Linked DNA regions of Caenorhabditis elegans. The protein of the gene in region 2 purifies or fractionates together with the protein of the main gene of each other region. This does not show direct contact. Each region holds a gene or a part of one and is shown on either strand. Other genes may lie near its edges. The genes, in order: Y43F4B.10 and hrpk-2.

Region 1 (15,375 bases), 5.3 Mb from region 2:
TTTTCCAGATCTCCGGCCAATTTCTTCTCTCCCGTGGTTCGGAAAAGCCACGGATTTGCCACTTTTCTTCGGAACTGTAATGTTCGCGTTCGAAGGAGTCGCTGTGGTAAGCGGATTTTCTGGAGATCGATCTGTGAATTTTGCAAGCCTGCGGCACGGTTTTAATGGCAAAACTGGCAAAACTAGGCTCCGCCTTGACAGTTCGAATAAATTTATTTATATAAAATCCAACTAATTTCAGATAATGCCAATTGAAAATCGAATGCAATCTCCACATGCGTTCATTTCTTGGAATGGAGTTTTGAACTCATCCTGCCTTGTCGTTCTCGCGATTTTCAGCGTTACTGGATTCTATGGGTACGGTGGGAAACAAGGAGAAATTGCCGAGTTTCTTTGAAAAAAAATTGAAAATTGTTAGATTTTCTTTAAAATAATCAAAATTTTTCGATTTTTCTGAAAAAACAAATTGGAAATTATTAGATTTTCTCTGAAAATAATCAAATTTTTCTGATTTCCTGTGAAAAAAAAATCAAAATAGTCGATTTTTTCTGAAAAAAAATAAAATTTCGAGTTTCCCTGGAAAAAAAAACAATTTTTATCGATTTTCTCTGAAAATAACATTGACAATTGCTAGATTTTCTGTGAGAAAAATCAAAAATTTTCGATGTTCTTTGAACAAAATAACAAAAATTTTCGATATTTTTTGAAAAAAAGCAATTTTTTTCGTTTTTTTCTGAAAAAAAATTGGAAAATGTTAGATTTTCTCTGAAAAAATCAAAATTTTCTGATTTTCTGTGAAAAAAAATCAAAATTTTTCGATTTTCTCTTAAAAAACTTAAAAAATTTCGATTATCTGTGAAAAAAAATAATTTTTTTTTCGATTTTCTCTGAAAAAAAAATTGAAAATTATTAGATTTTCTCTGAAAAAATCAAGATTTTCCGTTTTTCTGTGAAAAAAATCAAAATTTTTCCGATTTTCTCTGGTAAAAATTACAATTCTTTCGATTTTCTCTATTTAAAAAAAATCGGTTTTCTCTTTGAAAGTAAAACTTTCCGATTTTCACTTAAAAAAATATAAAAAATTTTGATTTTCTCTTGCAGAAATTACAATTTTTTCGATTTCATGGGAAATTCCTAATTTTCTTTAAAATTTTTTAATTTTCTTCCAGATATTTATCACTTGGAAATGATGTCAAAGACACAGCTACCCTCAATTTGCCAATGACACCGTAAGTTTAATGATGAAGAGAGAGAGTGAGAGAGAGTTTAGAGAAGCAGAGATAATTGTTTGGACTTTGATCAACTGACCGTTTACGCTTTTGTGTCTGTGTATGTGACTCAATAATAACAGAAGAGAAATTAAATAACAAATGTGTTACGAATTGGGGGCTAACTGAATAATAATATTAAAAAATTGGATTTTTTCAGGTAAAATCGAAAAAATTCTTCGAAAAAGTAAATAGAAAATTTCCGATTTCTCGTTTTTGAAACGATTCGGAGTAAAATCAAAAAATTTCAGTTTTCAGAGTGAACCGAGAAATTGCGGATTTTGCTTAAAATCCCTAGAAAATCTCTTTAAAAGTAGAGAAGTTCGCGAAAATTTCCGTAAATTCAAATTTTTTAATTTCAAAAACAAATTGTGCTATATAAATACGAGGAAAAATCAAGAAAAATCAAGAAAATCAAGAAAAAACCAGTAAATTTAGCTGGGTAACGTAAAAATGCAATAAAAATTTTTTTTTTAATTCTTTTAATTTTTGAGACTGTTTTCAATCATTTAGAGCGAAATTTTTATTCACAATATTGCTATAATTGCTTGGGACACAATTTTATTGTAAAAAAGGCAGAAATTCTTTTAAAAATGCATTGAATACCAGTTTTCCTTGCTATTAAATTTTTTAAAAATTACTTTTTAACAATTTCAGATTCTATCAAACGAATTTGGGGGTTAACTGAATAATAATATTAAAAAATCGATTTTTTTCAGGTAAAATCGAACAAAATTCTTCAAAAAGCTGAAAAATTTCCGATTTCTCGTTTTTGACACAATTCAGAGAAAAATCAAAAAATTATATAACTCAAAAAATGAATTTTTTTAATTCGAAAAACGAAAAGTTGGGGAAACTGTACTTTAAAAAAGAGAAGATGTAGTATAAATATGTGGATTTTGTTTAAAATACTAAGAAAATCTCTTTAAAAGTAGAGAAATTCGCGGAAATTTCCGTAAATTCAAATTTTTTAATTTCAAAGTCAAGAAAAAACCAGTAAATTTAGCTGGGTAACGTAAAAATGCAAAAAAAAATTAAAAAAAAACATTCTTTCAATTTTTGAGACTGTTTTCTATCATTTACAGCGAAATTTTCATTCACAATATTGCTATAATTGCTTGGAACAAAAGTTTTTTTGTAAAAAAGGCAGAAATTCTTCTAACAATGCCTAAAAAATAATTTTTCAAAATTACTTTTTTAGCAATTTCAGATTCTATCAAACGATAAAATTAATGTTCACGAACTGGGGGCCATCAATAAAAAATATGTCAAAAAAAAAAATAAATAATGAAAAAATTTTTTTTTTTTTAAATCAGAATAATTTTAAAAAAATTCAATTTCAGATTCTATCAAACGATAAAATTAATGTTTGTGGCGTGCATCATGATCTCCTATCCTCTTCAATTCTATGTGCCAATGGAAAGAATCGAAAAATGGATTACTAGAAAGGTTTTTTGGAGAAATTTCCATGAAAATTGGTCAAAATTCTTCAAAATTTCAGATTCCCGTCGATAAACAAACATTGTACATCTACATTGCCAGATATTCCGGAGTTATTTTGACTTGTAAGTTTCAAAAAAAAAATATTATTCGCAAAAATTATTTTTTTTTTCATTTTCCGTTTAAAAAAATCTAAAATTGACCTAAATATCGATAATTTAAGTTTTTTTGTTGCGGAAAAATTGTGTTTCAAAAATAATAATCAAATAATAAGTTTAGAAAAAAATCATAACAAATTTAGAAAATTTTAATAAATTTTTAAACAGTTATATTTGGTAAATTGAGACTTTTTCTGACATTTTTGATCAAAAAAATAAAATAATTGGTCTAAAAATCGATAATTATACATTTATTTAAACTTTTTTCGCAGAAAATTGTGTTTCAAATCGATAATGAAATAAAAATTGAGAGAATTTCGGTAAATCCAGACTTTTTCTGAGACATTTTGGAAATATACTATAAAAATTGCACATAAAAATCAAAGGTTTTTTTTCAGGTTGATATCAAATAATTAATTTAGACGAGAAAAAAATTATATAAAAATTTAGAAAAAAACTGATTTTTTCTAATTTTTTGAAAAAAAATTTCCAGGTGCAATAGCTGAGCTTATTCCTCATTTGGCTCTTTTCATCTCATTAATCGGAGCATTTTCTGGAGCTTCAATGGCTCTTCTCTTCCCTCCGTGCATTGAACTTTTGGTAGGAATTTTTGAATTCCAATTTTTTTAAATTAATTAAAAATGAAAAAAATTGAATTTTTTTCAGACATCCTACGCGAAAAACGAGTTGAGCACTGGATTATGGATCAAAAATATCGTTCTTCTCACTTTTGCCTTTATTGGATTCACAACGGGAACCTATAGTGCACTTATCGAAATTGCAAAAACTTTTGCATAGATTTAAATATCTATAATATTTAAATATTTTCAGCGTTTTAGCTGGAAATTCCCAGAATTTTATTGCACCTTTATGGAATTTTTTGGAATTTTTTTTTGTATATTTCGTGTCCTTCCTTGTCGGTTGTTCAATTTGTGATGATGATTTTTTCATATTTTTGCGGCATTTTTTTTTCATTTTCGTTTCATTCCCGAATAACATGTACTATTTATTTTGTTAATAAAATTCGAGCTTCTGTGAATATTTTTTATCGAATTTTTTGAAATATTATTTAAATGTGGTATCAATTTTAACCAATTTATTTAAATATCTCGATTCAATTTTATATTACCCAGCCGCAAAATTTTGCAATTTTCACACTAAAAATACGGTACCCGGTCTCACAACGACAATATTTTGTTAAATACAAACGGGCGTGCACCTTTAAAGAGTACTGTAGTTTCAAACTTGTGTTGCTGCAAATCATGAAATTCCGTACGTTTCAACAAAAGTTTGAAATTACAGTACTCTTTAAAGGCGCACACCTTTTCCGCATTTAACCAATATTTGCCGTGGCGAGACCGGGAAAACCGAAAAATTGGAAAAATGTTTAGAAAATTAACAAAAAAAACTATTTTTTATCAAATTTTATTTATGTTAATGAGAACAAATCATAAGAAACAGATAGTTTTTCTCTAAAAAGAGGAAAATTATATTTTTCCAAAAATCCTTTTTTTTTTCAAAATTTCGACAAAACAAAATTGTTTGGTTTTTCGATTTCTCAAAAAAAAATATCGTAAAAATAACCGCCAAAATCCTAAAGCAAATGTGCTCCATTGAAACGTGTTTTGAAAAGAGACGCAGAGAACGGTGGTGTTCCCGTTCTCTGTATTTTTATTGATTTCTCGCAGTAATTCATTCAACCTATTTTGTTTTAGAAAAATGGCGACACAAGAAGATCTTCAAACGCTTATCTCAATTGTGCCGAATCTTCAGGTAAAATATTTAAAAAAAAATCTAAATATACAATTTTAATTGAAAAAATAATGATTTCAGATGCAAGAAGGCACTCCTTATTACGAAGTTCTGCTCAAGTTGATCGAAGAAATCGGGAAAGACGTTCGTCCAACATATACATTCAATAAGTTGACCTGTGAACGGTTGAAGAGGAATATTCAAGCGGCAAAAGTTCTGATTAGGTAGGTTTTTGAGTTTTTTCGTCGATTTTCCACTCGAATTATAAGTGTCGATCAAATATTTGATCGTCATAATCGAGAAATCAATTGAGAGAAAAAAAATCATTTGCAGAGCGTGTCAACAAGAGGCCGAAACAGACAAAAAAAAGGCAGACGCTGCGATCGAAGCACAAAGAGTTGCGCAGAAATCAGAGACTCCGAAGCCTGAAGAGACATCATCGGAGGCCGCCTCGAAGAATTAATCTTGCTTTTTTATATATGTATTTCAAATTGTATTTATTTTTACCATTCCTGCAAACTGGAAACTTTAATTTTTTTGCTATAATTTCCATCACGATCCTCATGGGTTTTAAATTATTCCCAATATTTTTTCCATGAATATGTGTCTTATTCCAATCTCAATAGTTCACCAATGTATAGACTCGAAATTTGGCGGTTTTGGAGCCAAAACGGCGGTATTTGGTCTCGACACGACAATTTTTTGGTTAAATACAAACTAGTGTGCGCCTTTAAAGAGTACTGTAATTTCAAACTTTGGTTTTTGTAAAATTTTTATCGATTTCTTAACGTTATTCGTTAAAATAATACTTTATTTCTAAAAAACTGAAAATTCGATGAAAATTCCACATCACGAAAAATTTTGGAATTACAGTACTCTTTAAAAGCGCACACCTTTTCGCATTTAACAACAAATTGTTTCGTGTCGAGACCGGACACCGTATTTTTGACGAAAAATTGAAACATTTTACGTTTGAAAACCGCATTTTTAGTAAATTTTCAAAATTACAAATTTTTTGAGCTCATTTAAATGCGATCAAAAAGTGTGAAGCTGTCAAATCGCCCAGCATTTGCTCGTCGGATACCATCAGAGGACACATCACGTGCTTGCGTATCCACGTATCTTCTCGATACATCTTCAGACACTCGATCCGGCTCACTGTGCATTTTGAAGATTGATGAAGCCGACGGGCTACAGTTGGAAAATGAGATTAGCACTTCTGCTGGAGTGTTTCGATTCGATTTCCGAAATCCGTCGACGATAGTTGCAGCGCTAACCGATGGATCACTAGTGGTTCAGAAAATTGAAGGTTTGAATTGTGCCTGAGATTTCAAATGAGCAGGACGATTTTCAGAACCTGTATCATCCGAAACTACACCTGTATCGTCGGATATGCTTTTGGATTTGGGACTTTCGGATTCTTCCCTCACTATTACAACTGACAACAAAGTACTGTGATCTCGCCGGTATTATAGTAGTAGTGGTGCAAAGCACCACCAGAAGGGCGCCATGGGCGTCCATGCCTCAGTGAGTTCCTCCAGGGTAGTAGTAGTAGTAGTGGTGCAAAGCACCGCGATGGATCCGTGGAGGTCCTTGGATCATTGAGATCCGCCTGGATCGAAAGTTCTGGTGGGGAGGCCCAGTGCCTCTGCCACCTTTTTCGGAGTGAGCGGGGGTTGGATAGAACATCTCAGCATGTGTTCCACATTCCCTGTGACATCGCCACACTTCTTGCAGGCTGGCACCGTGTCGTTGTTGATTCTCGCGAAATAGCTTGGGACCATGGTTGAGTGACCGCATCTGATTCTGGCTAGCTCCACTCTTGTTCCTCGCGGCAAGGAGCTTTCCTCACCATTTATGGCGGGGGCAGGGCGTCCAAGTACGTTGTTCGGCTTCTTGCTGTTTAGGAAGTTTTTGATGAAGGTTCGGTGGTTGGACTTCTGAATGGCCTTGGTCGTTGAGCGGGGATTTGTCCAGGCATTGGTGGTGCTGCTCGGATAGTCTAACGGCGGCTCTCTGGGCCTGTTGGTCGTCCTCTCAAGGGGTCTTCTTGCCTTTAGGTCTTTGGATGGGTGGCCAGGGGTGTTCAGTGCTGCAATTGCAAATTGCTGCTTGCGGAGCTCAATTTCCTCGCGAAGAGGAAGCCTCTCCGTTTCCTCATAGATGTGCTGAGTCGGAGAATCACTGGTGAGACCACTGCAGGTGCGGAGGGTCGAATATTTTGGTGGGGAGGCCCAGGGCCTCAGCCACCGTTTTCGGATCCGACCACAATTTTGATGGCGTTAGCGGGGGTTGGGTTGAGCATCCCAACAAGTGTGCCACATTTCCTCTTTGATCGCCACATTTCCCACAGGTCGGTATCGCGAAGTAGCCGGGTACCATCGTGGAATGTCCACATCTCAGCCTTGCTAGCTCCACTCTGCTTCACCCTTGGTAGTGATTTCTCTTCCTCGGCCACCGCTGGGGCAGGGGTGCCCAGCACGTTGTTCACCGGTTTCTTGTTCAGAAATTCCTGCACGAATTTCCTATGGTTTGCTTTCTGGATGGCCTTGGTGGTCATTTGAGGAATTTGCCAGTTGCTCGTGGTGTTGCTAGGGTAATCTAACGGAGGCTCCCTTGGCCTATTTGACGCTCTTTCCGTCGGCCTTCTGAGCTTTAAGTCTTTGGATGGATGTCCTGGCGTATTTATTGACGAAATCTGGAATTGTTGTCTTCTAAGCTCAATTTCTTCTCTCAGGGGCAATCTGGTCGCTTCCTCGTAGATATGGTGTGCTGGGGTGTCACTTGTGAGGCCGCAGCAAGTTCTCAGAACTGCTCTGTAGGCGTTATTATCAAGCCAAGTGGTGCCACGCTGTCCCATGACGGTTTGATCTACAAAAAATGCGGGAATTTTATCCAAAAAAAAAATGACGTCAGCACGTTCTTAACTACGCGAAATCAGTTGAGAACCCGCATTTTTTGTAGATCTCCGTATATCAAGTCAAAATGAGACACTCTGACACCACGTGGAGCTCCAGAGACGCAGAACAACGCGCAAGTGCGCTCTACTGCCAAGAATTGGGTCCCAATAGGTAATGGCGGCAAAACCTTAATTTCGAAAAATCACATTAAAAACTGAATTTTACATCAATTTTGTGTCAGAAAATATGTATTTTTGTTGTTTTTTTTTGGCGCCAATACCTAACGAGACCCAGAGGCGGAGCGTTCTCATTTCGCTGTGGAGCGCGCTTGCCCATTTAAACGTTTTTTTCTCTATTTTTTGAAATCAGTTCATTTCAGGGCCACGCGTACATCGTCGACCTGAACACATCACTCATCGTTTCCACGTGGCTTGCTCATTCGCTTCCGTACGTTCCTGGTGAAGGATGTGAAGTATGGTCTTGTGCGATCAGCAAAGATGCTCAGACAGTTGTAACTGGCGGAGAGGACGGATCAATGAAGTAGGTTTGAAGGAAAAACCAATTTTCTATTTGAATTCCCTCCAAAATGAGAACTGCAAACCAATCAGAAGGGGTGGGCGGAGCAAATCGCTGATTGGTCCTGCAGTTCTCATTTTGGAGGGAATTCAAAATTCAAACAGAGGGGTTTTAAATCTTCAAATTTTCAGACTCTGGGATGCTCGCAGCCGAACTCAAACCGGTCAATCAAAAATTTTCGAAGCCGGTGTTGTTTTTGTTGATTTCCCGGCTTCGAACGAAGATCAAATTCTAACTGGAAGCTATGACGAGCACGTCCGGATTTTCGATCGAAGGAATTTAAAAACTGTGCTCAAAGAGAAAAAGGTATGATATATTATGGGAGCATAATATTCTGAGAGTGCGTGTTGCACAACATATTTGACGCGCAAAATATCTCGTAAAAAAACTACTGTAGCTCTTGTGTCGATTTACGGGCTCGATTTTCTCGTAAATCGACACCAGCGCTACGAGATATTCGCGCGTCAAATATGTTGCGAAATACGCAACCTCAGAATTTCGAAAAATTGAACACTATCTGTGCCACGTGCAGGATCTCATATCGCCACGTGTCACCAGATTCTACGTATTCAAAATAAAAAATCCAGGCCTTTCAGGTGCGAATCGACTTTATTTTACCGTCCTTCGCGTTTATAGACCTAACAATTTATTGGTTATTTTGAAAATTTCCCCTAAATTTAACGAGAAATTTAAATTATTTTCCAATTACAGCTCTCTGGTGGAGTTTGGAACATTGAACAAGTTGGCTCAGAGTACTGTACTTCCTGCATGTACGGTGGCTACAGTATTCTGAATTCGGACACTCTCGATATTGTCCACGAGAATCGGGATGTTGGATCGAATCTTCTGTATGGAGCAACAAAAATGTCCGCGAATTCGGTGCTCTTTTGTACTTTTAATGATTATTTGGCTGTTTTAGACGAGTATTGATGAAAAATGTTGAACGCCGGTGAATTTGTTAAATTAGTGATTTTTTGCTTGTTGAATTTAATATAATAATAAAAATTGCGTTTACAGAATTTATACCTTAGTTGGAATTTTTACAAGATGAGGGTGTTAATAATAACAAAAAAATTGTACAGCAACTTTCGCGATTTTTGCGCGAAAAGTACGGTGTCCTGGTCTCGAAACGAGAATTTTTTGCTAAATGCGAAAAGGTGTGCGCCTTTAAAGAGTACTGTATTTTCGAACTTTCGTTGCTGTGGAATTTTTATCGATTTTTCATAGATTTGTTGAGTATTTCCTTTTTTTATAACAAACAAATAGATTTTCAAAAAAAAATTATGAAAAATCGATGAAACCTCTGTGCAGCAGCAAAACTTCGAAGCTACAGTACTCCTTGAAGGCACACGCGCGTGCTGAGACCGTGCAACAATCGCAAAGCTTTGCGTGTGGGTAATATCTGCATTTATTTTTAAAAAAAGTTTATACATTAATTGAGCAATTTTCGGAAAGTTTCAGAAAAAGTTGGGGTAAAGAATTTATAAATTAATTTTAGATAAATCGTTGGCCGAATTGGGCTTTTCTAGGCCAAGTATTTAAAAACAGTAAACTAATCAATTAAATGTTTGAAATGCATTAAAAATCCAGTATTCATCATTCCATCGTGTTCCTTGAAAAACTTCTTCAAATAACGTCGTTGGTAGAAAAGTTGAAAGTCAATTTTCCGATTATTGGTAGAGTTTCACAAACGGAACATCTTTCCATACCAGACAGTTACACATCCAAAAGGGCTTTTAATGGTTTCTTTTGGAATATTGAGAATTTCATCGAGATACCAACAATGTTCAGGTTGTTCTCCTACGAGACGTGCGCTTGAATTGAAAATGTGTGGGACTTTTATCGGAATTCTATCGTCTTCTTCATAGTACAATTTAAATGTGACACTTCCATTTCGCTGTTGATTTTGCTCAGTCAACCTAATAAACTTTGCAAAGACTTTGTGCATATTTTCAGGAGCAATTAGAACATTCGTCTCAGAAAGTTTCACAATCATATTCCTGCTTGGGAAGGCCCTTTGAACATTTGCAATTATATTATCATATGGTGAATAATAGTCATAATCCAACTGATCTTCAATGGTAAGTAGAATATCATCCGTGTATTGTAACTTAATTTCCACACTTTCCAATAAATTAGCAGAAACTGGTTCAATGTTCCATGGTGCAACAAACTGAATATTCACTGGATTCTTGAAATTTTCTGGGCACTCGTGAAATTTTTCTGCCATAACATTGTGCGCTCCGAATCGAAAATTAAGGTTAACATTCTTTGCATTCCAGTTCGAAACAGCCTGATGTGTTATTGTTCTCGGCAGTGAGACAATATCTTTGCCATATAGAATGAATGTGAGTGTATCACATGTAATGGGCATTTTAAGAAAGCGATTTATCGGGAAATACACCATTTCTTCATCTTCTTCATCAGTATATATTCGACGCACTTCAAATTTGTCAGCATTCACTATTCCGTGTAGGTGCCTGAAAAAAACTTACAGTGCTGGTCAAATAATTTGTCGAATTATTCAAATGAGCTACTTCAAAACTAGGAACAATATTCTTTAAAAAGTTCAGCTAACAAAAAAATTACATTATTCGTTCGTTTTCATGTTTATTTAATTTTTAATTTTCATTTTGGTCACAGGGAAAATTGAAAAAAAACGCGATCAGCGGATTCTGGGGTAACTGTTTAAAGCTCCTTCTATGATGCTAAAATTAAATTTTCAGAGGGAAACAACGCCCTAAGTTGACAAGGTGCTGCCAAAGTCGTCATAGCAAATATTAGTTAAAATATCAAACGCAAAAACGGGGATTTTGTTAATTTTTTTCATCTTTTCCTCTGTTTAATAATTTTTTAAAATCTTTTTTCCTTTAAAAATTGTTTCAATTTTGATTTTTTTTTTATTGCTGCGTTGCTGATTTCAAAAATAACTCGTTGAAAAAGGCTACATCATGAGTTATTTCGAATAATTTTAACTGATAAAATACTTTCAAAATATTTCTCTAAATGTTGATTGCTGAGCACTGTTTGACAAATTTAAATTAAAAACAGCCGAAGTATATATAAACCTGTCAATTAGAGCAAGTGAATTCTAATAGGGAAAATACGGTAACTCAGTTAGTTTTAGATAACTTGGAATATCAGCGCTGTGAAGAATATGAACCAAAAAACTAACGGCTCAGCGACTTCGAAAACGTCAAAATTAAGTAGTTGTGATCCATGTAAATCTACACCTTCCTGCATTCCAAACCGGATGCAATGCCTGGCAATCCTCTCGGCTTTTAAGTCCCAACCATAATAACTTAAATCAAACATTCCCGTGAATTCCCTTATTCTGTCTTCTGTATTTAAAAAAATGTTGATAGTTTTTTGATAACCGCGAAACTCACCGTTAGATCCTATCAATTCTTTGAGAATTAAACGGTGTAATTGAAATTGTACAACTTTGTCAAAATGTTCAATTTGAACTTGTAGTTTACAGATATTTATTTTCACGCGTTTATTTAAAAATCTGAATCCTTCTGTATTTCGACATAACTTGTAATTAAACTCACTGAAAGTATGCATGTAACTTTAAATTACAGATGTCTTGAGAGTTTATGAAAACTGTACATATGCATGGTAAGTGCTTGTCACAATGCCCAAGGTTATGAATGATTATTTCACTGTGCTCTTTTCTGATTTTGTAAAGAACTGCCAAGTTTAAATGTCGACTGACAAGCTGTAATAAGAAGAACGTTTGAAATTTTTCAGTAATGAAAAATACTGAGATACAAAACGTTGAAACCAACCAAAAATTTGGCAAACCCTTGTGTAAATTCGTCTCTAAAATTACTAAAAAATTTTGAAATCGTCTGAAAACGGACCAAAATATTTAAAAGTGTGCACTTCCCTCTGGGAAAACATAATTATAAATTTTGGAAGTATTAGATAATCAGTCACCTTATATCGGGCTTAAAGGCTATAAACTGTGAAAAGTCGGACAGTTGCATGTTTTATATACATACACTGGCAAAATATAAAAAATATACACTAAATAAAATTAAATTCACAAATTTATGTATAGCTTTTTGAAAACTGGATTTAAAGTTCAAGTTGGGCGTTTGATTTTTCAACTATTTTGCTCTTTTGCTCCCAATTTTTGGCATCACTTACTCTCAATTTAACCAGTGGTTTTGTCTGGATTGACACATGATCTAATATTTTTCCAATTAAAATTTCATTCATAAACACTTGATTGACAATATATGTATTCTGAAAAAATGTTGAAATTCGATTGACTAAAAAAACTTCAACTCACATCTTCAGACATTTTAGTGCTCTCTTAATTTCTGTAGCAAATTGCAATAGTTGCAAGAGAGTAAAGGAAAATGAGAGAATGAGAGAATGAGAGGGCGAGAGAGCGAGAGGGAGAGAGAGACTTCACAAAGAATATGGACTTTTTGAGTTTGAATTTTCCGCCATACATTTTCAGTATTTGAATCAGTGTATTGTAACGGGAACGCCAATATTTGTTCCTCAAAAATTTGAATTTCCAGCCAAAATGTTTTCCTAGAAAATTTGAATTTCCCGCCAATTTTTTTCAGAAAATTTGAAGTTTTGCACTATCAAAAAATTATATGGTATGAATTGCATTTTCAGAATTTATACTTCATTTAAAAATTTTTTACAAAATTAGGAACAAAGGGGGAAATGACACCTGGATGGGATACGGACTAGAAGTTTAAAAAAATCAAGTTCTAGACCATAATGCGGAGAAAAAAAGGAAAAATCTTAACATCTTAAAAAATAAATTAAAGAAAAAAATACACGTAGTCGGATTGGAATAGGCAGATTCAGAACATAAAATTTTAAATACATAGAATCAAAAATCCTAGAACTAAAGTTAACACATATTCAATAGAAAATTGAGATTTCGAAGAATCAGTTAGCTCAGCTGATTGAATTTTTCTCATTTTCTTTTTTTGACTGAGCTTCTGCTTCAATTCCTCATCATCTTCATCCTCACCATCCGCCAGCTCTCGAACTACAACTACCGTAGTTGTTTGCAGTTTGGTTACGGTAGGACGTGGCCGACTTGTTGTGTACGTGGATGTTTGTAATGTTGTAGTTGTTGATGTTACATTATTTAAACTATCAATTTCCTTTTGAAATGATAACAGTTTTTGCGAAGTTCCAGTGAATTGGCAGGCAGGCATTAGGGTGTTTGTGGTGTCTTTTAGGACTCGGTAGATTACCTGAAAGTTTAGTTTTTTTGGAATCTGATTTTTAATTTCATTGAGAATTTTGTGTGTGGGTGCCGAGGGTATTGAGTTTTCAATGCTTTAATTTTTTAGATTTTTCAATTTTTCGATTTTTAGTTTTCAATATCATCAACAAAAATTTGATAAAAATTGCACTTTATTGTTAATTCTCTAAAAAATGTTTTGCTCTTTTTTCGCTTGAAAAAGCAGAAAAACTAGCGATAAGCCGAAAAGAGCTGGAAAATATTAATTTGTTGTTCACCGTCAATGCTTGGGGAGACCCAAGTTAGGCGCTTTTTTTTGACATTGGAGCGCGATTGCATTGCTCACTAACCTGCCACGCAGAAAATCCGCAGTCTTGTTTTATCGGTGACCTTACACAACCGGAGAAGAAGTTGAGAGCTCTAAAAAATCAATAAATATAAATAAAGATGAAGTAAATGAACAACAAAATTATAATGTAAGTTAAACAATTTTCAAATACCCCAATCACTATTTTTTCAGAACTTCATTTCATATATTTACTAACCCACACATCCGATCAACTTTAGCTGGCATAGATACACCTGATTCAGTGTTTGCTGATTCAATTTCTTTAAGCGTCTCATCATGGCATCTTTTAACTGATGGTTTTCGATCCAACTCCATCAAACATTCGGCAGACTCCATAAATGCTGAAAATTATTTCAACTATAGCAAATACTGTGAAGCTTCAGGAGCTTAAGAATTTGAAAAAAAAACCTACTATTATACCCTTCATTACACAAGTATCCATAAGAAGAGTCAATAAGGGAAATAGTTACATGACGGGGACACGTACTTCGATAATCTCGAACACAACTGTTGAATTTGGCAATTAATCTGAATTTTCAAGAGTGTGTTTTTTGGCCATTTTCAGTCAAACTTTTGGTACACTAACATTTTTCTAGCACTTCCGATTTTTTCAAAAAGTTCAGAGCAATTTCGTATGTTAAAACTCCTACAATGTTTAGATTGAATTATTTTTTAAAAATTGGATTTGAAAATTTTAATTTTTTTAAAACTTTAATATCCTGCCCGCCAGGACAGGAACTTACACAGCCAAATTACCAGTAAATGTATTTTTAATTTCATAAATTGAAATTGCAAAATTGATTAAAATGTACGTAAATGCTATACGTAAACCTATAGATTTAAAATGCCAAATTCATAAAAAGCAATAGTTAGATGGAAGGTAGGCAGGTGTTAGGTAGGCATCGTTTGTAATGTTTAAACTATCAAGTGACATTAGAGACTTTAAAAAAAGATCCCTTGGGAGAAAGGGACAGAATTTGAAATCACTGGGTCGTCAAGATTTATGCGTGATTTTATGATGCAACTTGGAGGTTTTGGAATTTTTGTGCTCAGCGAGCAGAATGCCAGTTTTTCTAGGCATCTATTAAAATATTGCCGAAATAAAATTACCTACCTGCAAAGTTCATTGAAAACTCGACCGCCCATATTTGGAAGTGAAAAAGCACTTCCGAATTCTGATCCAGACGTTCGAGAGTCCTGAAAAGTTGGGATTTTTCCTAGTAGGCCTGGCACAAGGCAGAAAGTAGGCATTTTTCAAAATAAAGCTCTCACCTGATTATTCAGAACTTTTGCGTAATCTGCAACAGGTTGAACACATTCCTGAATTTTCGAATTCACAGAATGCGGGCACGTTGTCGATAGGACCCCAGGAATTAAAAGTATTACGAGGTAGCTCCAAAAAATCATTTTAGCATTTTTTTGATATCTGAAATAAAGCGATCGCTGTACAGATAAGAGATTTTTAGGACACAAAAAAGAAAAATTCCCCCAAAAAAATGTGTCACATCTTGCGGGCAAGGGACCCATGGGGGACACCAGTGGCCCGCAAAAATACAAGGACAAAATAATGGAGGAAAATGTTGTCGAGATATAAATATGATGAAGATGAATGTGCTTCTTCTTTCTTTTTTCCATTTTTTTCTTGTCAATCTTCATTCGGGGTAAACAAGAGGGGAGGAGCATGATATGTATAGAGATATCACAC
Region 2 (18,539 bases):
GTTCAACTCTCTAAATTTTGCTATGTCATTGACGTCATGTTCATTAATTCCATTTGATGATTCTTCTTCCGATACTTCCAATCAGCAAAAGTGGGCAAAACATCAAAGATTGGAGCAAGAGTGGAAGAGAAATGAGCAATGAATTATTTGAAATTTAGAATCACTTGCATCTTTGTTTGTATTTAGTTAAAAAATTTTGTAAACATAAATGACTGATAATTTTGTGCAATTATTGGAGATTATGTGCGGTTATTAGGGAACGTTTAACAGAATAAACTCGCTGACATTGGCTTTTGCAAATAAAACAATACTGAGAAGTTATGAACTTTTTTTATAATTTTACCAGCCGTGGACCGCACCTACGGCGCGGCCCCCGACTTTTTTGAGAAAACACATTAGATATACGGTGTCTATCGCGCACCTCGATCGATGTCTGCTGCGCATTTAGCATAAGGTTTCCCAAAATTTCGTTGCTCTGATCAGAGATCAAACTACATAGGGACAGAAGGACACGCGCTTTATATATAGTAAATGATTTTTATGATTCCTGAACATTCTTGGCAGACTTCTGAAGGTTCTGTTTTCATTCATTTTTCTTGAAGAGAGTCAAACATACAGGAAATTTGATATATTCAAGTTCCCAAAAATAACTTGGTTTCCAGGAAGTTTTTATCCCAGTCGCATATAGGACGAAGTAATAAATACATTTTAGTTGGTTAATTTCGTCTAAATGTAAAACTTATAGTTAGTTTTAAATAATAAATTAATACAATATTTTCAGTGTAACATGCAAGTGTAACTGCAAAAGTAGACACAGAAACAACGGTAAAAATTTTAATCCTTGTTTTTTTTGACAATTTTCTGATCGGAATTTTTAAAGTGGCCAAATGAGGCAAGAAGTTTTCAAACATGTAGATTTTGAACGTAGTTCGGTGATGGTGGCAAAGAACATTTTGTCTTATGGTAGTTGGGTATTTGGTACTTTCGGTGTTCTAGTTTTCCGTTTTTCAGTCTATTTTTTAGTTTCAAAACTTAGAATACATAATTTATCTTTCTAAATATTTTTTTAATTGTCGAAACTCATACGTACTGAACTTTTTTGACCGAATCGGGGTTTTTGATAACTGCCTGTCAGATTTCAGATCTGTTCTAGATGTACCCAAAGTCCAAATGAACAATGAATTCGAGTCACGGTAAAGTCATTAAACCAAGTGCGAAGTTCTTAAGTACTCTGAACAATTGTTGCTCATATCCTCAAATCAAAAATTCTTCAAAACTCAATTTCCACATTCTCTCTTCATTCTGCAGAAAAGGTGCGTATTCAACGTCATCTCATTTTCTTTTTCTTCTTCTTAATTTCTTAGCTTCTTCCTTTTACCAGTATCATCATCATCATCATTTCTCAGTTGTCGTCAAACAAATTAATCAAAACAGCTCTCTAAAGATTCAAGGTGTCTTCCATTTGGCTCCACCTCCCCTCTATTCCACTCTCTTATTTCATCATTCTCATTTGCATTCACTTCTAATTAATTCAATGTCGCCCCGTGTCTCGAGCGTCCTCTTCATTTTTCTGCCACGTCTTCTTGAAAAAACCGCGTCGTCTTGTTTTCCTCTTCCCCCAATCTACCGTAATCCGCTTACCCCCTTTAATGAAACCACGCCCTCTTCACTTTTAGCTCCCATGTTTCCGGCATAGTTAATTTCCATTTAATTTTGCAGATTACCAAATATGTCTACAAATTTGGTGGACTATGTCGATGATTCGTATTTGAATCAATCAATGAATTCAGAAAATGGATTGGATTCAGTCACACAGATTATGTATGATATGGTGAGTTTTATCGATTTTTTGGAAAAATAAATTTGATGTATTTTCTCTATAAGTGCTGAACCAAATTGCTCCACTTTATAACGCTTAATTTTGAAGATATCGACAAAAATTACTTACGAAACTATAAAAAAATAACTGGAAATTATTTTTTCAGTTGACAATTTTTTTTCAAATCTAAAGTCAACGAGAGCAATGGGGTACAGCACTACTAGAGAAAATATGGTTTACATTTGAAAACTAGGTGACTGTAAACTCTGTGCATTTGTTTTGCAACCGTGATAACTCAATTTGAAATTATAGCTCAGAAATTTTGGACTTGATTCTCGACCTTCGATAAATTTATATGTTCAAAAATCCTAAAATTTTGTATGGCCCGGCACTTGTTCAAGAAAAAAGTAATTTGTTGAAGCTGCCAAAACTAAGACTGGAAAAAATGTTGGTTATTTTTTAATAAATAAAACTTGATTACTTTTTCTGTTGCTAAATTGGATATTATTTTTGTTTGTTTGCTATTTTCACCTGATACGCATCGGTTTTGGTTTTTATAATCACAACTTTATTGAAAATTAAAAACTAAAAAAAATGTAATAAAAAAAGCGATATTTCATGACTTTGAGAATTTTGGGAGTATCCGAACATATCCAATTAACATTCAATTTGTGTCGATGATCAAGTTATTTGAAATATTTGAAAATTAAAAAATGTGTTAGAAACCTCTCATAATTCTTGTAGCATAAGATGCTTCTCTTCAATATTTATGTTTTGAATAATTATGTATACTCAAAATTTAAACTACAATCGCTCTAAAATATTGCAACAAATGTCATCAGAATCTTATGCCTTGAAATGTCATCTACTAGAATATAGTATTCTGAGCAACGATTTGCTGTTGATTCGGCACGGAATATAGGCTTTAGCATGTACATGGTTTTTATTGGAACGGATACATGGTTTTTATTGGAACGGATTGAGATATTTAAAGGTGGAGTATCATCAGTAGAGAAGTTGTTAACCCACAGTGATACAAATATTTGAGTAAAACTTTTAAATTTTTTAAAAAATTAATAATTAGTAATTGTTATGTTTTCGCCTGTCATAATTTTGAAACTGGATTTTTGAAAACTTTTCCCACATAAAAGTTCAAAAATAACTTTTCATGGGTTTATATCAACCTTTGAATGATGTCATAAGAAACTTAAAATTAAGTCCTCTAGACTAAAATTCATATTAGTTTCCTTCCGCTTTCTTCAACTTTTTTGGTTGTGGAACAAAAGCACTTTTCATCTAAAAACACATGATTCCATGCCAAATCCTTCAATTCTCATTTTTCCATTTTATTTCCCGCCGCCTAAAATCAAATTATTCTCCCCATTTCTATCTCCTGTTTCTCATTGTCTCATTTCTTCCACCAAATCGGGAATCCCATCAATTATGCCAATCGCCATGTGCATTTTTTCTATTCGTGTACTGATGCTCATTGTGTTGAAGACTAGAGAAAAGAGATTCAGAAGGACATTTTATTGGAATAAATACGAAATCAAGCTATAGAAAAGTCATTTAAAAATGTGATACTTTTAGAGACAAAAACGTTGGAAATAAGATTTTTGAACCGGCACAAAGAATGCCAGAAACATTTAAACATTTGAGATAGGGATTTGATCTAGATTCAAAACCCAGTTGGAAATAAACTCTCCATTTTGTGACGATTTTACCGGACGTCCTGAATCCGAAAACATCGGACCCAGGACGTTCGGTTGAGCCCAAACCAGATTCAGACAAATTTTTCATCAGCAATTTGTAAAAATTTTTCAGAAAAAGTACAATATAGTGAATGATGTTCTACCTCCTCCCAATCACGAAGATCTACATGTTGTAATAATGGCAGTTTCATACCTTCTTTTATTTTTATTAGGTGGGTATTTACGTGACAATGTTTTTGGACTTTGGCATTTTTATTTATCAAATAAATTGTTTTAAAAAATTTGATTTGTATATTAAAATCATTTGTGTGTCTAGATTGACAAATAACAATTTTTAGGTACTTGTGGAAATGTGGCAGTGTTAACTACAATATACCATGTTATTCGATCGTCTCGAGCCACGTTGGATAACACATTAATATATGTCATTGTGCTTTCTTGTGTCGACTTCGGAGTTTGTTTGTCACTTCCAATTACGGTTATTGATCAGGTAAATCGATTGGTTTTTGGAAAGTTAAATAGTGTTCTAGAAATTATAAGTAGCTTGTACAAGCGCTTGTGAATATATATGGAGAAAATTATTTTTTATGGTACAACTTATGAGTGCTGAAAGTTTTGAAATGTGAAGGATTGTCAGTGGAAATTTATTCTAAATACACTTCGACACTTCGTTCTCTAAAATTTTTATATTTTCTGAAAATATAAACTTTTTTGGTAATTCGGAGCATTTGTGCAGGTTCAAATCCGTAGAATGTTTAAACGATGAATTGAACCACAACTACAATATTAAACTTGTAGAAAACTTTTTTTGGTCCTGGTGACAATTGAGTTCAGTGAAATTACACCACCTTTTGCAGGTAAATTTTTATAAAAAGTCCAAATTTTTCTGAGAAGTTTTACATAGCCTCCACCTTTAAAGAAACATGAAATTCGTAGGTAGTGTGAATGCAACAAGAAAGCTGTCAGAAAACGTTTGTTGACTTCAAAAAATAATTATTATTTTACATAATCTTTCATTTTCCAGATTCTCGGTTTCTGGATGTTTGGCAAAATACCATGTAAACTTCATGCAGTATTCGAGAATTTCGGTAAAATCCTGAGTGCTCTCATTCTGACGGCAATGAGTTTTGATCGGTACGCCGGAGTTTGCCATCCACAGCGAAAACGGTTGAGATCAAGGAATTTTGCAATTACTATACTTTTAGGTGAGTGTTTTCATAAATGATTTGTTCCTAAATTAAAGTTTAGTTCTTGCCGTATATGCATTCATCACACTCTGCCCGTTATTATGGTCTTTTACTGCACGGGAAATTATACTTTATGCGAAGGAAACAGGTACATTATTTACGCTTTTCTAGAAATATTCATAAGTTCTTGAGAATTTTTTTTGACAAAAATATATTTCTAACAAAGTTTAACTGCAAAAAATGGTTTTCTACTATCTAAAAAATCTTTGGTATCAGAAATCAAATGTCAATTTTAATTTCAATAAATTGGAATAACAATTTTTGAATGTTATTCGTTTACTTGAACTATTAAACAAAGAAAACACTAAAATGTTGTCAAACTTTCTCATTCCTATTGATCTATTTATCTCTTTTTGCCGTTAACCAATATTTTTCTATTCTATTTTCAAATTTTACATTCAATTTTCTTCCCCTCCCTCTCTTTAGTGTATTACTTGGTTTTCAATTAGTTCTCACTAATACTTTCGGGATTAATTGAATGCTCTCTAGGCAGAATGATGAAGAAAAATATGGGAAGATTGGTGGGGGAGTTTACCACTTTAAATTGAAATTTTCCAGCACCCGGAATGCTGACAAGAATGAAAATTGAGAAATGCACAGTGGATATCGACTCACAAATGTTCACAGCTTTCACGATTTATCAGGTACTTATAAAAAATATTTAAAAATTCACAAAAATGATTGAATTTTATTTTTTTAATGTATGTATATAAAGAATTGAAGTTTCAAAATGAGATAAAAATATTATTTCACACGGTTCTACCTTGGAATGATTGAAACAAATTGGTATATAAAATTACTCAAAGTAATTGAACTTACTTACTTGGTAAGTAAGAAAGTTGAAAACATTTCGTTGAACAGATTTGAAATTTGAAACCAATTTCTACAGTTGGGCTTACTGTAATACAAGAAAACTTACCATTTTTTTTAAATTTCAGTTCATTCTCTGTTATTGTACTCCATTGGTTCTCATCGCCTTTTTCTATACGAAACTTCTCAGCAAACTCCGTGAACACACAAGGACGTTTAAGGTATGAAATTTTGAACGCTCTGATTACAAAATAGAACAAATATATCTAAGACAAAGAACTATGACTATACACTTCAAGGGTCACATATCACGTCCGCTTGCCTCTCCTTCTGTTTTGCCTGGAATCCGCCTTATAAAATTCAAAAATTAAGAAACATAGAAAAAGTACAAAAAATATATTTAAAAGATTACCTGGGTATAGTATGACGGTAGCAGCACACAAAGAAGATTACCGTCTCGACCGAGAACTGAGGCACCATCAGTATTATATGTTGCTCTTGCGTTTGAATCAAAACCCCAATAAATTCCAAAATTTTCAGAGCTCTCAAATCCCATTTTTGCACATTTCGTTGTACACTCTAGCAGTTGCATGTTTCTATTTTTTATGCTGGACCCCATTCTGGATGGCTACATTATTCGCAGTTTATCTCGAAAACTCAGCAAATTCGAGTAGTGTTCCACCAGTTTTTGTATATATTATGTATTTTATTCATGCTCTACCGTTCACCAACTCTGCCATTAATTGGATTTTATACGGTAGGGTTTTTCTAGAAACTGTTTCATAAAAAGTAAAATTCATAAAACAATCTCAGGTGCACTAAATGGCCAACTTCAACAAAGATATCGATCAAATCGTTCAAATTCTACAAAAAAGACGACAACAACAACAGCTTCAACAGCTTTATTGGAAAAGAAAATCACAAATTTGAATACTAACTCTAATTATCAGGTACATCTGAAATTTTTGTGGTAAAATTTTTCTAGTCAGAAGTTTTCAAATGATATTTTCGCCATATTTTACGCACAACAGCAAATACAGTGTCAATTTACGAGACCTTTTTAGGCATGGCGAAAATTCACATCTTCAGCCGTCTTCGTAAGATATTTGGCGAGCAGACAGTATTACTCTGACATATAATTTTGCAATTTTTGTGCTAAATCTACGGTAACTGGTCTTGACACGGCAAATTAGTGGAAAATACAGAAAAGTTTGCGCGTTTAAAGAGTACGGTAATTTCTAACTTTCATTGATGCGGAAGTTTTGTAGATTTTATATAGTTTTTGGATAAAATTGTATTGATTTATTAAAAAAACTAACATAAAACACAAATAAATTGATGAATAAAACGATGGCATTTTCGCAGCAAGGATAGTTTGAAAATACAGTACACTTTAAAGGCGCACACTTGTTTGTGTTCTACAATAAAATGTCGTGTCGAGACCGGTTACCGTATTTTTGGTGTCAAATCGTAAAAATTTCGCTTCTGGGTAAAACACTTATACGGAACAAATTAAAAGCCACATTTTCCCAGGTAAATGGCTCAATGAACTCAATAGCCACTGCAGCTCCAACAAAAACGATTGGAAATAATGAAGTACTTGTTGCCACGTCAACAATTGATGATGATGTTGCAACTGATGTTGTAGATGTTCGACTTTTGAGTAATCATAATCCAACTTTTCTTTGAAATTTTAAATAATAATTTAAATTAACGGGTATTTATCACACATTTAATTTAAAAAGAAATATTTATTTCATTTTTCTATGTAATTTCAATTTCGTGATTGCTTCCCCATTTGTCAGGTTTTGCTATTTTACAATAATTTTTTTTGAAATAAAGTATAAAGTGTTTGTGTGAAGTGTAAGTATTTTTTGCGAAAAAAGTTCTTTCAGATGGTACGTCTGAATGAGGTACCATGGTCATTCAGACGGTACCAGACAATATACTTCAACCGTCCAAAAACAATGACATGTCGTTTATTGAGATTCGGGAGTAGAGAACCAGTAAAGTATGTAAGAAAACCGTAAAAAAAGATTGGGGAAATACAGGAGAAAAAACAAAAATGGATAAAAAATGCAGTACAAAATCAAGAGAAATACTTTGAAACTATTTAAAAAATTCACTTATTTGCATTCTTTTCTTTCTGCGTATCTTTTTTTGAGCATAACGAGTCTCGGATCTTCCATCGGTTTCACTTTTGACAAGTTGTCTGAAAAAAGAAAAATTAACTAGTAATGTTTCCGAAAATTGAAAAAGAAAAAAATAATAACATTAAATGATGTCAACTCACTGAAATCATCCGAGTTGAATTGAATAACCTTCGGGTCAATAATTCCTATTTTAACCTTGGTTAAATATGCAGCATAGGCAGCTTCTTCAACTCCACCACTACAAACCATGAACTTATCATCGAGATTTCCTCTAATAGCATTCAAGTAGCACTTTGCTTTCGATTCACTTCGAATTCTGTTGATTTCTACGCCATGCCTTCCAATAAGCCGGGCAACCATGTTTTCTGGAACACGAACTTGGAAGATACCCGGATCATCATCCGCTGGCTGATTCTCGTGCGTGATCTCCTGAAAATAGATACTAAAACTGAAAGTCTAAAATTAAAATTAAAAACCTCAATTTTCTCGATAGCCTGCTTGATGTTATCAGTTCTTCCACGAATTGAAAAGCACGCCTCATTATTATCAAATGAGCGTTTGAAAACGATGGCAGTACGAGTCACTTTCTCGATAGTTTTCAAGTTCTCTCCACAACGTCCAATGATTTTTCGGTAGAAACTTATTGGCGTACAATGTTCTACAGTCTCCTTGAACTTCTCTTCATCGAGGAAACGCTTTGTTTTCGATTGCATCGTTTCTCTAGCCATGTGAATGGAATTAACACTTCCAGTAAGTTTCAGTGGTGCGGTTGACACATATCCGCCGATACCAAACACTTCTCTCATTTTCTCGATGATGATTCCACAGTATTTCTGAAAAAAATTTTCCCCTAGAACTAATATTGAAATTGTACATTTTGACGCCCTAAATATTTTCGAACGAGGGAAAAGTGCCTTCAAGAAATATTGGTTTCCAAAGCTTTGCATCGAAAATTGCCAAATTTAAATAATATGTACTCAAAAAATCTCACCTCAATGCTTCTGCAATTCAAATCGAATCCTCTTGTATTACGCAATTCGTGGGGAGCATTATAAAAGTATACAATACTTTCTCGACCATCATGAATGTAGTGTTCATCAATAACCATATCATCAATCATTTTTTGAGCATTCTTGATGTGCTCGGGATCTCCTTTCAGTTCGACGTATGTATATCCACCGCGTTTAACTTCCTCCAGGAAAATAAGATGACATCCTGTTGCATAGTGGATCTCAAGCAGTCGTGCCTTTACTGAAAAAAAGAAACTGTAACGTTGGATTCAGTGAGATAAACCAACCGAGAGCTCCAGAGCGAATGGAAAGAGCATGCATGGCCGTACGATCCGCTTCAAACACCAGCTCTTTCTGCTTTTTCTGATGTCTCTCGGACTCTCTAGGTGGACCACCAACTGAAAATATATATTGAAAACAAAATCAGCTTATGTCAAATCTTACAGAGCTGTGTTACACCATCAACTATTTCCTTCGAATATGACCATTCTTTAAACAACTCTTCACGTCGAGCCATATCGTCGTCGGTCAACCGTGCGCGTTTTCTTGCATCTGAAAATAAAGTAGATATTTTTCTCAAATTAATGTTTTAACTAGAAGCTTTTTCTTATAAATGCTAGCTTCCTAGTTTTCAAAACTCCAACTCACTTCGTGCAATATCATCGCACTTGTAACTGTGCTCTTTTTTGACACCGACATCCATTCCATGTTCATATTCTCTCTCCATTTCAAGACTATTGTGGTACTCATCAGACTCTTGTTGGTAAAAACGATCTTCATCAAGAATATAATTATCTTCGTCCACACAAGCTGAAATATACATATATTCTTGGTTTAATAATTATCTCCGACACAACTAACCAGATTCCTTTCTGTGACTGCTACGCTGTCTCTTTTTCCTCTCGTGACGCTTCTCAGAAGGATTGCTTATCTCATAATCATCTTCTTCGCGACATTCAGAAGAATTTCCAGATTCGTTACGGTCATAGTGTTTTTTATGTTTCTTGTTATTCTTGGAACGATGACGATGACGGTGGTGCTTTCCAGAATCTTTATCATTGTAGAAATGATTATCTTGATCAGTCTGAGTGATGTCGTAATCTTCAAAATCTTCACTATTACGCATGATTCCCATATTCACGTGCTCCATTACTTGATAACGTCCACGATTCAGTCCATCTGCATCATGATGCCTTGCCTCAAACGGAAAAGAAACTCTAGATTCCAAATTGGACGGATAATTATTATGATTGTAGCAAATGGAATTTTGGTAGAAGTTGTCGTTGTTGATTTCCTGATTGTTGATTTGACGTGCGAAGACTGGAAGTCTTCCGGAAAACCTTGGATCCTCCAATCGTTCAGAACTTGCCATGATCATTCCAGATCGCAAATAAGAATTACTACTGAGTGAGTCATCTACTCTACGATCAATTGATGCAGATTTTGCAGGAAAGTTTGGCGCCAAAAAATGTTCTTCGAAATCATCATTATCTCGCACGATTTCCATATTCAATCGTCCCATTTTTCGGAAACTTCCTCGATTCAGTCCACCTGCATTGTACTCATTTACATTTGATCGATAAAATGGTCTAGGCTCCAAGAAGGTAGGATGATGTTCGTTGAATGGAACATTTACCAAAAGTTGTTGATTGTTGAAAAGGGGTGTTTGTCTATTTATGGGTGGAACGAATTTATGGTTGAAACGAATGGGATTCTGGTTGTTCCTTCCGTTGCTGATTTCTCGACTTCTCTCTAGACGTTCAAAGACTGGAACTCTTCGCGCTTCATGATAACTTGGTTTCTCCAAACGTTCAATATTACTTATAGAAATTCGGGGTTCCGAACATGAATTACTGCCCCACGTGTCATATTTGCTACGATTGTTGTGTTCTCTCTGGACATTAATCAACGATGTTGATATTCCAGGGAAGTATGACTCTGAAATAGTGAATTGTATGTGAAGCTTGAAGAGTGTGCAACTCACCTGGAATTCGCTGTCTATAAGAAACACGCACTATCGGGTCTTTGTGAACTTTTTTATTGTAAATAGGTTTACAAATGTCTTGACACTCTGAAAATATCATAAATTTACTTGTTTTTGAATATACGAATTCACCATCATCGGAATCATCCAACTGAATAACTTCTACTGGCGGTTTTGGAGGCATAATTATTTCCTCTATATCAGAATCGGCTGAAAAACTATAATTATTGTTTAAAAAGCAAATAAAGAACCTACAATCCACGCTGGATACAAATATCGATTTGTCTTTTGTTTTGGCCATGATTCGCTCTGAAAATAGAATTATTTAAGTTTATTTTCTAAGTACAAACATATGAATTGAATTCTAGAACACGCGGATTTTGATACTTCAAAAAAGCGTTTGTATTTTCAAAAATTGTTTCAAAAGGGTTTCTCGAGAGAGAGAAAAGGAGGGAATCTGTGAGGGTCATTCTGCGTACCTCGCATCAAAGCAATGAAGTGCGCGTTTACAAATGTTTAAGTGAGAAAAATAAATGAACAAAATAAACTTTTAGGAAAAATTTTCGATGAAATTGAACCCAAAAATTAAAAAAAGTTAGTGAGTCCAAAGTATACGGTACCGACCGGTCTCGACACGAAGGATACGATTACTGCAGAATAGAATGTGCGCCTTTAAAGATTACGGTAATGTCGAAGCTTTGGAAATCGATTAAAGAAATGAATTTTTTCTCATTTTAATAAAAACAAATTTTATGCAAAATTGGGCTGGAAAAAAGACTTTTGTTCGAAGCTGCTAAAAAAAAGTATTATTACTTCACCGTAAAACGTGATTTTTTACAGTTTCTCCCACTACTCGAGGTAAATATATTTTTATCTTTCCTAATTGATTTTTAAAAAAAGAGAAATTTTTAAAGCTAGATCAGAAATGGTTTAGTGTATGTGGTATTATTCGTAGCGACAGAGTCAATACTAATGAAATCTGTGAATATTTTTTAAGTGTTGAAGAATATAAGATAATTTTGTTCATTTAAAAATACTTCGTATGCTTAATCTTTTGACAGGCTTGATTTTTGAAAAGACGGAAATTTTGGATATCTTTCATCAGAACTAGAAAATTTATTTACTCTGGAAAAGGCAAAAAAAAAGAATACAGTGAAACAACAAGCATATCAAAATATTACAATTCTACAGAGCAGATCCGGCAAACATCGACGGGAAATTAGGCAGAAAGAGTGGAGAAAAGAGGGACGATTGAGGAAAGAGAGAGAGGGTAGGGGGGTTAATGATGAAAATAGAACGAGTGACAGAGAGATTTATACATAACGAAGTGGATCAAAACAATAGGTATAGGAAGATCCAATCTTGCTATTTGTTGTTGTAGTTGTGAGTAGAATGGCTTACAGTTCCCTGGAAAATATTGAATCAATGAATTATTAGTACCTGCAGAAGCTCAGCTTATATATTCTGTTAAATCAAAACAAAGTACAAAATCTTGATATTCACTACTCACTCCGACTCGATAAATCCATTCGTGTAGACACGGAGCATGAACTCGGCTTCCTCGTTTGGTTCAAATGTTGATGGAACGACAACATAGTTGCCCGGGGGTACACGGAAGCGGCCAGTCATCTGAAAATTTGGTTTTTAAAATTTAATTTTGAAGATAGAAAATTACCTCTCTTAAATTGATGAAAGCGGCCGATCTCATCGCGGATTTGTTGGCAGCGAAGAACTGTTTACTCAGTCGACCACGGTTATTTCCGGCCTGAATAGTATGTAATTTTATAAAGCTTGAAAAAATCTTTGGTTCGGACGAACACAGAGACAGAAAATACAATTTTCTTTCAAATGACTGCATTTTTCTGTTATTTGATACGTTTCACACATCCAATAGTAAACAACAAAACATAAATATTGGTTAGATAATGTCAAAAAATCAGCACGTGTACTTCAACAATAAAACAATACACACTAAACAAAGTGGGTGAGGTTCACTGAATGTGGGTTATTTTGAACTAGAAACGACGTGATTTGGACAATTTTACCGGTTTCACAAGATTTTCAATTAGCCAACTTACATTGTTCATCTGTAAATTTTTAGCGTATTTAAAAGGTTTAAAAATTTTTTAGTAGTTTTAGGGGAAAGTTAAGTTTTCAAATGTTCCAACTATTCTATTTAAAGTTGAGGTTTTCTAGAATTGTCGTAAATTTCAGGCCAAATCCTGTTTTTTCTTCAAAATAACAATAGTCTCACGTCATAGACAGCAAATCCAATTGGCACGTTGTCAAGTCCATCTTGTTTCAGATTACGTCTTAAAAATTGGAAAAATAAAAATGATTTCCCTATCTGGTGGCGCTACCTGTATTTTTGCAAAACGGCGAATATTACAGTGCAGAGTTCATCATCATCATCAGGATCCGAATCGGTAAGTTGAACTCGGAATTGTGGATTGTTGGCGAAAGTGTCTGAATTGAAAATTGAAAATATTTGTAGATGAATATTTACTTACTGATGTAATTCCTGCATCCTCCAGCTGTTTGATTTCTAACCCATGCACCATCATGAGTATTTGCAGCCCAAACCATTCCAGCGGCCTTGACACCAGTCATTTGATAGACTTCATCCATAACATCTGGTCCAAGATTGCAAATTTCCATTTTCTCGAAATTCCTCATAAAATCATCAAATGACATCCAAAACTCTCCATCATGATCGAATTTCAGTCCCATATCTTGTTTTACAGAATCTGGAACACTTCGCCATTCGCGTGAATTGTCTGACCATGGTCCATTCCATTCCTGTTCATTTCCCCATGGATTACGGATTCGAAGAATGCAAGTTTGTCCATTTGGTCCGTCAACAATTCGGCATCCGGTAATTGAATAGGCGTGTCCTTTCACTAAACCATTCGACATTTTTGCTTCCCAAACATTTGGATCGGCTTCGATGGAGCAACCGAATAGGGATCCCATCTCGAATCTGAAATTTTGTTAATACATGGACGCTAAAATTTGCGCAAAAAATACGGTAATCGGTCTCGACACGACAACTTTTTGTCGAATATAAATAGGGGATCACTTTTAAAGAGTACTTTACTTTCAAGATTTTATTTTTGTGGAATTTTTTATCGATTTTTCATAGTTTGTGTGTTCTTAATTGTTTTATTTCTGTTTCTAACAAAAAACTATGCAAAATCAATGAAAATTCGGCATCAACGAAAGTTTGAAACTACAGTACTCATTAAAGGCGCACAGACATTCATAATTAACAAAAATTGTCGCGTCGAGACCGGGTACTGTAGTTTGGCACAACTCGTTTTTGGATAATAATGTAAATTAGACTTTAATCCCTACCCTCTCATCATCATTTGCATCAAGTTTCTTGGTGGGTTTTTGAGGTCGATAAACTCGGTGAGTCCTCCAGTCATGTCCTCAAGTGCTTCAGATGTGGTACCTCCCTTGAGAGCCTCGTATGATCCGAACAATCTTGAAAATTAATTAACTAGTTTATTCCTTCATAAATGTCGGTCAAAAGTCCGAACTTACTTTGCATATGCCTTCTCTAAAAGTGCACTCCAGAACTCATTATTACTAGCAGAATGCATATAGAGAAGCTCGCCGTTACTCGTTGGTAATCTGTCGTCAATAACAACATCCACCCATTTTCCGTACTGCCAGAATTGGAAATGGAAGATTCCAGCGTAGTTTTCAGTGAAAGATTGATCTGGTGGAACCACACGATAGAAGAGCTCATCCTTGAGAGTTAAATTGGCTGCAGCAGCCAAGAGCCAACAATCTCCGAGTTCTCCCTGAAAGAATATATAATTTTAATAGTACATTTCAAATATTAAAAATTCTGAAAATAATCCAAGAGCTAACCTGAATAACATCAAATCTCGAGTGACCCTCTGTAATCAGTTGTGGCTCTCTTGTGATTTCTCCAGGACGAAGCCATTCTACACGTTTTGGTGGACGTTTCGAGAAGAATAACGAACTATCATTGGCCAAGAATTGTGGATCCTCGAATAGTCGTTTGCTCTGAATTTATTATTTTAAAAATGATATGTTTTGAACACTCACCTCAAGACATTGATCTCTGAGCTCATAGAAGTCTTGTGGTTCGGTAGTTGGTCTTGGTGAAATAGGGCTTGGACCACTTCCACCACCTCCTCTATCTGGATCTGGTCCTGGACGAACGAATGGATCAACATCCCTACGGAACTTTCCAGAAATAATATTGTCCAGAATAACTTTTCCGATATTTCCAAGAGAATTATCTTTTCCACCAAGTCCCATAATCACATTTCCAGCGACAGCTCCAATGATTCTGCCTGTACCCGGATCAACGCCGAGGAATCTGTGAGCAGCTTCTCCAATGAGATTTCCGATAACATTCACCATTCCACCGTTGAGATTATTCGGGTTCACATTTCCACCTCCACCATTGTACTGGCCACCGCCTCCTCCGCCAATGAGAGATCCGATTCCTCCGAGGATATCTCCGAAGCCTCCTCCACCACCGCCTAAAATTTTTCAAATTATTCAAAGTATATTAATAAATGTTCTATACCTTGTCTCTGGCCACCACCACCACCACCTCCCATACTGTTGATGAGTCCACCGATATCATTGAAGTTAAAGCCACCGCCTCCGCCGCCTCCTTGATTTCCACCACCACCGCCGTAGTTACCACCTCCGCCTAAAATATTACTCTAGCTTGAATTTCATGGGTGCCACATTTGTGTAGATAGTTCAGAAATGAAATACAATTAGATGTGATAAATAAGTGTCAATAAGATCTATAAATGTTCTGATCATCAGCTCTATTAACTATTAAAATATTAACACAACATTTATGATACTACATGCACACTACAATCCTAATGCATACCACCACCACCAATAAGTGATCCGACCAAGCTTCCGATGTTGTTTCCACCACCGCCACCGCCACTGCCGCCTCCGCCTAAATTTCACACGAAATATCACAGCAAACATGCAAAATATTGCATTTTTAAAGGAAAATCACGAATCATCAGTCAAAAGCGAATTAACAGGAGAATTTAAAAGTCTAAAGCTTCTTTCAAAATAGCCATATTTTTCAAATCAAATTTTGGAAATGAGTGGTGTTGTTAGTATTTAAGTGAGTGTTGGTGAGTGCGTAGAAGCTTAACTTATTGTATTTTCAAACTCTCAGACCGTAATTTTGCCCTCCGCCGCCTCTTTGTCCACCGCCGCCACCTCCGCCGCTCAAAAGTCCCCCAAGAATGTCTCCGAACCCTCCGCCACCGCCAGATCCACCTCCACCACCAAAATTGTTATTTGGTGGCGGCTGTTGTCGACCTCCACCTGATTTTTAACATAAGTTGATGAATTTGTGCTATGAGCGTGGAATTGCGCTATTTTCAAGAAAAAAGCTTGAAGATTGGTGAACAATTACGGAACAAAAGACAAAGAAGCTTCACATTCCCAGACGTCCAAGAATGAAAAACTAGAAAAAAAACCGAGGATAATAAATTACAGACCATGTTCAGAAAATTTGAGAAAATGATTAAGCTAATTATATAATCAAATCTATAGAAAGCACAAAACAGCAAATAAAAAAAACACAAACGCTACCATAGTTATCCTGCTCCTTCTTTCCTTTCCTATTCACCACATTATCGAATATTCCTCCAATCAAGTCTTTCGCCATGTCTCGTTTCCTTTTTTGTTGATCTCCGCTGTTCCCATTCCCGCCTTGATCGTAGTTCGAACCTATGGATTACTGTAGCAGCAAATGGGATTACGATAACATGGACAACATATAAGGTGTGAGAAAAAATTCACTGATCTAAGCCACACGGTGATGTTTTGAGTGAATCTAAATGTTTTCTAACACAAAAAAAGGAACTTGAATTTTTAGGGAATTTTTGTCTGACAATTTTGAAAATAAAAATACCTCCACCGAATCCTCCATTTCCACCACCGAAACCTCCGCCTCCGCCGCCGCCTCCTCCGCCGCCTCCACCTCCGAAGAAGTTACTGGCAAGGCCTCCAAGGATATCACCACCGGCGCCACCGACCTGTGAGATAATTAGTTTTAGGTTGCAATTAAATTTCAACATGTCTATGTAGCAAATTTAAAAAAAAAATATTCTAACCAAAAATTAAACTAACCTTATCTCTAATCAGGTTACCAGCAATTGATCCAATTAATCCATTGAATTCATCCGGCTTCACTTCGACTTTTTGAATAATTTCTTCCTCATCGTCAGCCATTTTGATTCCGTCGGCTTTTGCTGTGAAACCGTCGGTTGTTGTCTTTTTTTGATAGTTTTCCTCCTCGTTTGAGCCTGCCGCACGATTTTCGGGGTCTGCAAAACAGAATATCTATGAATTTGAAATAAAATTTGATTTTTGTTCAACGAAAAAGTCAGAAGAAGCAGAGCAATCAGGCTCACAACATAGAGAAAAAAAAAACAAATTTTTACCTCTTCTTGGGGATACAGCAATTGAGAATGGAAACATAAAATAATTTTTAGAGTTAGAGCTTTTTTTAAGGAATGTGTAATTCTTAAAATCGATAAGCCCTTTGCGTGCTCTTTGAGCCTTCGGAGTTGGGGAGACAAAGATTAGCGTCAACTTTTTTGTGCATGCATTTTTCTGTTTTTTTTCTCATATTTTCTGAGCACGAAACAACATAAATTTAGTTGACAGAATAAAGGAAATTTGAGTTAATGGAAATAGAAACTTTATCTATTAATTTATTTGATTGTCATCAATTAGCTATCGATGGCAAACAAAACGGATGAACCTAATTGGAAACGGATAAAAATATAAATTCAATGTGACAGGGGGAGAAAAAAAAACTAGATTTTATTTTTTTGTTTCTCTTTTGGTTTTTCGGTCTTGTTTTCAATTTAATCGTCACGGAAATTGGTATTGGAGTGAGGCACAACACACCAAAAAAACAATTGCCACATTCAATGGGTTTCGAAATATAGAATATGCTCAGAAAATCAGATAAAACTAAGCAAATCGTAATTTTTGAACATGATTTTCAATTATTCAAGGATTTTTCTTTCAATTTTGTTCCGAAATTTCCCTGTATGACCTTTTGATACGGATAAAATTGTCTTTTGAAACCGAGAAAACGAACAAAAAACATTTGGAAATCGATGTAAAAGCTGCGGGGGACCAGAGTTTGCGTGTTTTGCTTTTGAAACCAATTCTACATTCCCATGAGTCTAAGCGAAGGACATGTCAACTCAGTGTCAGGAGCAGGCCGAAAATGTGTTTTTTTTTTAATTTAGAGTTCAGAAAAAAAACCACACCTTCTGAAGATACTCTGGATCACACGTAGACAACAATACAATACATTTCTTGAATTTTTTTTCATACAAATTTGACTCACCAACAAGACAACAATTGAATACATTCATTGCACCGGGCAATTCTCCTCGAGAAACGAGCACAGAATGAGCTCAAAAAGGGAGCAACAAGCAGCTCGTTTTGAGAAATGGAGAGCTAGAGGGACCAACCGGAAATAAAGGAGCACCCTATGGCTCAGAGCAGGAAAAAGTTGCTCTTTTTTTTCTCGAAACGGAATGTGATGGCAGAAATAGAGGGGAAAAGATGTTCCGCGCCGTTGATAATTGGTTTTGGTGAGGCTCCGGGGCTCAGTTGCTCTTTTTGTTTTTGTTTTCCGTTAGGTTCTATTCGCAGGTGATCGATAGCATAGAGGAAAAGGTCCCTTTTTCTTTGAAAAGAGAATAAAATTTTGTGTATCGAAGCACTTTTTTTTGGATTTATAGGTGAGTGA

The links.
Region 1: the proteins of hrpk-2 (region 2) and Y43F4B.10 fractionate together in Caenorhabditis elegans (co-fractionation; one large-scale study listed by BioGRID). This does not show direct contact.

Annotation. Positions count from the first base shown.
Region 1 is NC_003281.10:13,309,487-13,324,861, forward strand, and holds Y43F4B.10 (uncharacterized protein), read left to right. Parts: upstream 1-4,581; 5' UTR 4,582-4,585; coding exon 4,586-4,639; intron 4,640-4,699; coding exon 4,700-4,842; intron 4,843-4,951; coding exon 4,952-5,081; 3' UTR 5,082-5,235; downstream 5,236-15,375. Other genes in the region: slc-36.1 (Amino acid transporter transmembrane domain-containing protein), read left to right, coding at 9-106, 242-357, 1,170-1,229, 2,612-2,717, 2,770-2,833, 3,360-3,466, 3,533-3,664; dph-7 (methylated diphthine methylhydrolase), read left to right, coding at 5,648-5,927, 5,973-6,067, 7,898-8,058, 8,226-8,400, 8,806-9,024; F53A2.11 (F-box domain-containing protein), read right to left, coding at 9,779-10,574, 11,270-11,435, 11,484-11,605, 11,649-11,815, 12,250-12,348, 12,395-12,406; F53A2.1 (DUF19 domain-containing protein), read right to left, coding at 12,945-13,331, 13,672-13,741, 13,867-14,011, 14,083-14,198, 14,785-14,867, 14,943-15,353.
Region 2 is NC_003281.10:7,979,626-7,998,164, reverse strand, and holds hrpk-2 (KH domain-containing protein hrpk-2), read right to left. Parts: upstream 11,045-18,539; 5' UTR 11,037-11,044; coding exon 10,991-11,036; intron 10,946-10,990; coding exon 10,868-10,945; intron 10,823-10,867; coding exon 10,736-10,822; intron 10,690-10,735; coding exon 9,613-10,689; intron 9,562-9,612; coding exon 9,400-9,561; intron 9,304-9,399; coding exon 9,196-9,303; intron 9,150-9,195; coding exon 9,039-9,149; intron 8,993-9,038; coding exon 8,733-8,992; intron 8,575-8,732; coding exon 8,218-8,574; intron 8,171-8,217; coding exon 7,882-8,170; intron 7,801-7,881; coding exon 7,715-7,800; 3' UTR 7,552-7,714; downstream 1-7,551. Other genes in the region: npr-17 (putative G-protein coupled receptor C06G4.5), read left to right, coding at 1,730-1,831, 3,644-3,743, 3,870-4,021, 4,556-4,736, 4,780-4,866, 5,337-5,422, 5,717-5,809, 6,129-6,345 and 2 more; Calpain clp-1, read right to left, coding at 12,133-12,142, 12,246-12,364, 12,411-12,500, 12,990-13,047, 13,096-13,201, 13,246-13,715, 14,090-14,221, 14,282-14,544 and 6 more.